Ovis aries: one gene and its partner. The protein of the gene in region 2 interacts with the protein of the main gene of each other region in a pairwise test. Links are inferred from orthologs where the notes say so. Each region holds a gene or a part of one and is shown on either strand. Other genes may lie near its edges. The genes, in order: CAMK2D and TNPO2.

Evidence for each region.
Region 1: the proteins of TNPO2 (region 2) and CAMK2D interact in binary tests that used the Homo sapiens proteins (3 or more experiments, as listed by UniProt). The two-hybrid records come from large-scale screens. The link is inferred for Ovis aries from reciprocal best matches to the Homo sapiens genes TNPO2 and CAMK2D.

What each region holds. Positions count from the first base shown.
Region 1 is NC_056059.1:12,176,697-12,180,606, forward strand, and holds the start of CAMK2D (calcium/calmodulin-dependent protein kinase type II subunit delta), read left to right. Parts: upstream 1-1,215; 5' UTR 1,216-1,332; coding exon 1,333-1,397; intron 1,398-3,007; coding exon 3,008-3,102; intron 3,103-3,910. UniProt on the Homo sapiens protein: Calcium/calmodulin-dependent protein kinase involved in the regulation of Ca(2+) homeostatis and excitation-contraction coupling (ECC) in heart by targeting ion channels, transporters and accessory proteins involved in Ca(2+) influx into the myocyte, Ca(2+) release from the sarcoplasmic reticulum (SR), SR Ca(2+) uptake and Na(+) and K(+) channel transport.
Region 2 is NC_056058.1:11,096,001-11,099,810, forward strand, and holds part of TNPO2 (transportin-2), read left to right. Parts: intron 1-1,344; coding exon 1,345-1,405; intron 1,406-1,500; coding exon 1,501-1,666; intron 1,667-1,869; coding exon 1,870-2,022; intron 2,023-3,786; coding exon 3,787-3,810. UniProt on the Homo sapiens protein: Probably functions in nuclear protein import as nuclear transport receptor. Serves as receptor for nuclear localization signals (NLS) in cargo substrates.

The DNA of each region.
Region 1 (3,910 bases), on a different chromosome or scaffold from region 2:
GGAGGTGGAGAGTGAGGCGGCCGTCATATCAGAAGTGAAACGTGGCGGGGCGGGCGTCGCCCCTCGCCGAAGAGGCCGCGGGGGAGGGAGGAACCCCGCGCAGAGCGCCCGGGAGCGGGCGCAGTGGCTTCTGCCGGGGCGGGCGCACCATCATCGGGGCTTGGGGGAGGCAGGGACCCGTCTCTGGAAGCAGCGTTTTGCCCACATCCGGCCCCCACTGTGTCAACACCGACTCAAGCCGAGACGAAGCGCCTGCACCTCTGGCCCTACCGGGGCACCGCGGCTCGGGGGGCGGTCCCTGGTGCCCGGCGTCCACACCCAGGCTGGGGGCCCCCGCGACCCCCGGCCGCAGTTTCCGCAGTCCACGAGTTACCCCGCTTCTTCCCGCTAAATCGGCCCCACGTTCCGGCAGAAGCCTAATTGCGGGTTTAACTGTAATTTTCTTGTCTCGCCTCCTTCACCTACACCCTCTCCAGGCGTCTCCCCCGCACATCCTCCTCCACCCACCTGGTCTCTCCCTAGACGGGCGTGCGCGCGTGTGAGACCCGGGGAGGGAGGGAAGGGAAGGAGGAATCCGCGGAGGGACAGGGTGAGAGTCGCTAGCGGGAGGGATAGGATCGGCACCAGGGGGCTTCGGGAGGGAGGGGGCACTGGCAGGCGGAGGGAGCGGCGGGAGGAGGCGCTGGGGCGGAGGCGGAGGCCCGGGGACGGCGGACGAGGCTTCGCCCGAGCGGAGCGCTGTCTTTCGCCGCGCAGTCTCGGAGCCGCCGCGGGCTCGTGTGGAGCGCGAGGCCGCCGAGGTGCGGGCGGGAGGGAGGCCGGCTCCGGCGCGCCCCGCGCCCGCGCCCGCTGACAGCTGCAGCTGGGCTCGCGCCGTCCGCTCCCGGCTCCGCGGCCTCCGCCCCCTCGGGCTCCCTCCCCTCCGCCTCTACCCCTCCTGCCCCGGTGCGGATCGTTTCGCAACTGCTCGCCTCTCGCCCCGTGCCCGGCTGTTTTCCATCTCCCGGCCCCTCTTCTTGAGTACTTTGCGCCTGCATCTGGGGAGAGGGTCTAGAAAGGGGTCGGAGGGAGCGTCGGGAGAAGAAGGAAGCGAGGCCCGGAGGAGGAGGAGGATCGGCGGACAGCAGGGAGGAGACCCCACGCCACCCTCTCTGGTCATCTCCCCTCCCGCCCCGCCCCTGCGCACACTCCCTCGCCGGCGAGCTACTTTCGGACGAGGAAAGTGAGGGCGGCCCTGGGTGACAGCGCCGCGGGGCGAGTCCCGGGGAAGCCGCGCGTCTGCTTTCGTCTGGTCCGCCGCGCTCCCAGCCAGGGGGACAGCCCGGACCGAGGATGGCTTCGACTACAACCTGCACCAGGTTCACGGACGAGTATCAGCTTTTCGAGGAGCTCGGAAAGTAAGCGCCTTTGCCGGGTACTCGCACGTCCCCTTTCCAGCAGAGGGCGGGTCGTGTTACCCCCGACCCACGGGCCTCCCGCGTGGGGCGAGCGAGTTGGGAGACGGGAGGAGAGGGAGGAGGGCCCCCGGTGTGTCGGCTCGGAGGAAGGTGTTGTCTTAGTAAGAGGAGGGGACGACTAAGGGGAAAGACCTTCCACCCCGGCTGTGGCCCTTTCTGATAATCCTTAGCCCACCTTCTCCCGCTCCCCCACCCTCCTGCACTAGAGACTTAGTGGATTTACGATCCCTGCAGTTGTAGCTGTCATCCTGAGAAGTGTGCGAGCGCGCGCGCGCGTGCGCGTGTGTGTATGAAGAGGAAACAAGAACCCATGTAAAATGCAACATAGATCACGTTTTCTGTAAATAGAGATGCCGCCGGGTTCGCCGGCGAGTCAGCCATACGACCCACGTTCAGATGAGAACTCACTGCCCCAGACGGTGCCATATTTATTGATGCCGAAAGTTCAACTTGGCGTAGAGTCTGTTTCGCATCCAGTAGTTGTTCTGTCCGGGAAAAGAGCCTCCCAAACGAACTCGACCCCCTGTCCCATATCCACTATTATTCCTTGCACTAGATTGCTCGCTTATCATCACCCTTCCTAGGATTTACATGAACATCTTCGAGTTCTCTGGGAGGATTTATTTACACAGGCAGTGGAAAAGCCCTCTGGAGACTGGGAGAGTGCTTCCCAGGGGTAACCTAACGTTGTATGTTGTTTGAAAACGACCTTCTACACCTGACCGACAGGACTACTTGGCAATGTTAAGGAAGGAGACAGGAGACCTACTGAGAACCTGTGCAAAAGAACCTAGGGGCCGAGCCGTGAACGTTAATTTATGTAGCATCAAACCCAACCCCAGTTCCACTATCGCTAATGTCGAACATTACTCAAGAAAGGTGCATTTATGTGTATGTTGTTGTTTTCTACAGTTGAGTTAAAGGACGTGTAAATATCTTTTAAATGTAATGAAGATCACATCCTCATATATTTATGTTGTCTGCTGTGAAAACATGGAGAATATGTCGGAAGAGCAGCTTAATTCAAATCTCTCCCCTCCCCCAGTCCAAAACAGGGCAGAGAGAAATCACCACAGCAGGATTTGTTAAACCACACACAAATATTCCTAAGATTTATTTTAATGAAAGCAATCGCCATATTTACTTACTTGGAGCCACATTAATTTTTTTTTCCTACCAGAATAAATAGGCAGCAGATTTTTGCTGCTCCTCTTCAGCTCTTTGCAGGATTTTTTCTCAGAGCATTTGGTGCTGAGTGTGAATTGTAAAATGTTTTCAAATTTCATGTGCAAACAAGAGTCGTCATTATTGGCAGTTCCTTTCATTTTGTTGATTAATAATGTGTGCTCCCAGTTAAGTAAAATTTATTTTTGTTCTTCAACGTTAAAGAAGGCCTGAGTTTCCAGGAAGGATTGTTCGTTTTCTAGTTATTACTATATGGTGCACTGATATTTGACAGTTCACTAAATTCAATAAAAATACTCAGATGTAAGTTTTTAATAGAATATCAAGCTGATTATACTGATGACCTGCTAATTATTGGTTTTCAGGGGGGCATTCTCAGTGGTGAGAAGATGTATGAAAATCCCTACTGGACAAGAATATGCTGCCAAAATTATCAACACCAAAAAGCTTTCTGCTAGGGGTGGGTATTTTCAACCACATATATGTTAATTGTGCATTTGTCCTGTTGGTTATTGGTTCTGTTGTATGTTGGTTGTGTTCTATGTAAATAAGTCATTTAGTTATAATTGTAGCTGTAGGTATCATATTACCTTTTGAGATTATTTCCTTCCTGAGTGCTTCTTGGTTTGTGCAGTTTAAAAATGTGACAAAATACAATTGTTACTTGATAAATTGTTATTAAAATCTTACCTTTTCCGTGGGTAATAACATAACTAACTACATTTTAAAGCAAATACATGTCACTAAGTGCAATTTGCCTTTAGCTCCACTGTGAAATAACTTTCAGAAAAACCCTGGAATGGAAAAATGTAAGTCTCACAACTGTCATTATTCCCTTTTGCTTTTGAGAGGAAAAATAGGTCATAACTCAGTTAAATCATATATTTCAATTGTAGTTACACTTGAACTTAATTCATTAAGGTATATTTAACAGTAATGGCTTTGGGAGGAACATTTTATGGTTGCTATATTCCAGGAAATTCAGCTTGATTTTGATGTTTCTGAGTGCAGTTTAGACCTTTACTTGATCATCTGCAGTAAGACTTCTCACTCATGTAATGTATTTTACACATGCTTTATAACTGCAAAGATAATTCATACTCATAAAATAGCTGTTGACATAAGCAAAAAACTTGGAGGGGTCTCATTGCATTCTTTTTATTTTGTTGAACTCATGCAAAAGTACTTATACCAAAAGGTTCGGCATTCCAATTATTGTGAGCACGTGTCTAAGGTATTAATATTTTCATGGGAATTTATGGTTTGAT
Region 2 (3,810 bases):
GCTGCTCCTGCCCTCTGTCCACCCCAGACTCCACCCCTCTGTCTTCCCTTCTGTGCTAGCCTGTGCCAATCAATTGTCTTGGTTTGCTTTTATTCCTGTGTGCGTTTATTTTGCAAATGGTAGGTATGTAGCTTTAATGGATTAAAAATTAGGTTAAGTTATAGGTGGAAAAGATGAAATCAACAGAGAGGGACTTCCCTGGTGGTCCAGTGGTTAAAATTCCTTGCTCCCAATGCAGGAGGCCCACGTTTAGGTCCCTAGTCAGGGAACTAGATCCCACATGCCTCAACTAAAAATCCCTCATGTCACAGTGAAGATCCTGTGTGCTCCAACTAAGACCTGGCACAGCCAGAGGGGGAAAAAAGGCAGCAGAGGCTTCAGGCATAGCTGGATCCAGGTGCTCAAAGGATGTGAACAGCAGACCATCTGGGCTCAGATCTACTTCCTCTGTGTCTACTTTGTTCTCAGGCACAGCCTGCCCTCATGGTAGTACTTTCTGCAGCCTTCTAGCTTGGGAACCTCAGAGTAAAGACAGTCTCTCTTTACATTACTCTTTTATAGTGTCTCTGTAGAAGTTCTAAGGCTGATCCTCTTTGATCAACTTGAATCACTTGTCTGTCCCCGACTCAGTGAAGTCTCTAGTCAAAATCTCTGATCAAAAAAAAAAAAAAAAAAAATCTGATCCTGAGGTGCATGGGTTCCAGCGGAGTTGGGGAGGCTGCCCTGCCTGTTAGCTCCCCAACCTGGCCCCATGCCAGGAAGTGCCTGGTGACAGGGCAGGGCCATGTATCACTGCTTTATGGCACGTTAGGGATCAGGCTTCCCTGGTGGCTCAGTGGTAAAGAACCTGCCTACCAGTGCAGGAGACAGGTGTGATCCCTTGGTCAGGAAGATTCCCTGGAGAAGGAAATGGCAACCCAGTATAGTGTTTTTCCCTGGAGAATCCCATGAACAGAGGAGCCTGATGGGCTATAGTCCATGGGGTTCCAAAAGAGTTGGACAGGATTTAGCGACTAAACATCAAGGGGTCAGGCACTATTCCAAGCTTCTCAGAGTGTGTGGGGGTCTGGAATTCACTGAGTGGCCAGGGGTCTGGATCAAGAGCATTCCTGTAGAGCTAGGAGTAGTGTCAGCTCTGACCCAGTCACAGTGGCTGAGACTCGGTTCGGAATAGTATCCACTAAGAGAAATTAATGGATGCAGGACAAATGGAATTGGCATGTACAGTCTACCCCTCGGCTCCTTGATGCTCCTGCCTGCAACTCTTCTCCACTTCCCTCTTCCCCAGGCTGTAAGCTGTCTCTAGGGCCCCTGCATCCTGATTAACAGCCTCTCTTCCAACAGGCTGATCCCCATCCTGGTAAAAGGGATGAAGTACTCGGAAATCGACATCATCCTGCTGAAGGTTAGCTAGGGCTGACCACCAGTCACTGGCAGGGTGAAGGAAGGCTGGGGCGCTGGGGGCCTCTAGGGTTCTCAGCCATCTGCCTGACTCCACAGGGGGATGTTGAGGAGGACGAGGCTGTCCCTGACAGTGAACAGGACATCAAGCCACGTTTCCACAAGTCACGCACGGTGACGCTGCCCCATGAGGCCGAGCGGCCTGACGGCTCAGAGGACGCGGAGGACGATGATGACGATGACGCTTTGTCCGACTGGAATCTGAGTGAGTGGCCTGGCCTGCAGTATGAAGTGAGGAGTAGGGGACAGCAGGCCCTGGGCTCCCTCTCAGAGGGAGGGAGCCTATGCAGAGCAAATCACAAAGATTCAAATCACAACCTTGGATCCCAGGGGTCACAGAAAGGAGGGCTGGTGGCCTGCCCCATGTGCTTCCCTGAGCCCGCCCCCCGATTTCCCCTCCCGCCCCAGGGAAGTGCTCGGCGGCTGCACTGGATGTCCTGGCCAACGTCTTCCGGGAGGAACTGCTGCCCCACTTGCTCCCCCTGCTCAAGGACCTCCTCTTCCACCCCGAGTGGGTGGTCAAGGAGTCAGGCATCCTGGTGCTGGGTGCCATTGCTGAGGGTAAGTGACCCTCCAGCCTGACTGTGTGTGACCTCTGAGCCTTATGCTGGTGTGAGATGGGGCTGGGCCAGGGAGGGCTGGTGAGGGTGAGGCTATCCCCAGGTTCTCTCCAGTGGCCTGCTCAGCCCACTCCAAGCAGCTCTGGGATTTGAATCTTCCCCTCAGCCCAAGATCAGGCTTCCCAGTGGTAAAGAATCCACCTGTCAATGCCAGATACGCAGGCATGATCCATGGGTTGGGAAGATCCCTTGGAGGAGGAAATGGCAACTCACTCCAGTATTCTTGCCTGGGAAATCCTATGGACAGAGGAGCCTGGCGGGCTATAGACCATGGGGTCACAAAGAGTCGGACAAGACTTAGTGACTAAACAACCACCACCTCAGCCCAAAGGCCTGAAAGGGACCCCCAAATGCAAGTCCTTTCCTTAATTCTCAAAGAAAGGCAGTTCCATGAGGTCTTAAGCATAGTTCAGCAACAGTAATAACAGGCAGCCCTGTCCTGTGGGCTTAGTGCCACCCGAGGAGGTAGGTTTCTTGAAACTCAGCTGCAAAGAGAATTACACCACTTCTCTTGTCACCTGGGATGAAGCTGGGCTTCAGACCTGCTCTGACTGCGAGGCTGGCCTGCCAGGATCAGAAGTGTGCAGAGGTGGTGTTTCCTTCACTTTTCTGGCTCCCTTTGTCCTGACGGTGTGCACAGGGTGAATTACCAGAGGGCTTTCCAGATCTGTGATAGCAGACACACACAACTACCTCAGCACCCAGGTCTGCTGGAACATGTGAAGTGTTGTTCATTTTAATGGGAAAGATCTCAAGGAATTGACCCTGAACTGGTGAAAATAGATCTCAGGGCTGGGACGGTCAAGGGGTATGCTGTGATCTGCAGTGAAAAGAGAGACAGACACATTCAGAATTTTTGTTTTTTAGAAAGGGAAGATGAAAAGTAAGAAAAAAGTCACAGACATCTAAGAAAGGTTTCAAAAGAAAGGTGCTTCCTGTCCATCTGGGTTGCTGCTGCCCATACAGGCTGAGTTAACTCTGCAGCCCAACCATCTATGAACTAGTGAGCAGGTAGCTTCCCAGGTGTCTCAGTGGTAGGGAATCCACCTTCAGTGCAGGAGATGGAAGAGACGTGGGTTTGATCCCTGGGTTGGGAAGATCCCCTGAAGGAAGAAATGGCTACCCACTACAGTATTCTTGCCTAGAGAATCCAATGGATAGAGCCTGTTAGGCTACAATCCATGGGGTCGCGAGGCGTTGAACACGACTGAGCACACACATAGAGTAACCAGATGGCAGCACAAGCCCTGGGATGGGGTGGGGCTGATGGAAAGGGAAGTATTTACTTATGTATTTTGGCTGTGCTGGGTCTTTGTTGCTGCGAAGGCTTTCTGTAGTTGCGAGCAGAGCCTACGCATTGACGCAGGGGCCTCTCATTGAGGTGCTTCTTTTGTTGCGGTGCACAGGCTCTAGGGTGCATGGGCTTCAGTAGTTGTGGCACGTGGGCTTAGTTGCTCCACGAGACATGTGGGATCTTGTCAGACCAGGGATCAAACCCGCATCTTCTGCATTGGCAGGCAGATTCTTAGCCACTGGACCACCAAGGAAGTCTGATGCCATTTCCCATCCCCACCCTGCCTTTCACTGACTCTGTGCCTTTGAGACAGTTACTAACCTCCATGCCTCAGTTTCCCCCTCTGCCCAGAAGGGTGGATGTGGCCTGGCCCAGTTGGCTCAGCCTTGCCTCTGTGCCCGGTCCTTTCAGGCTGCATGCAGGGCATGGTGCCCT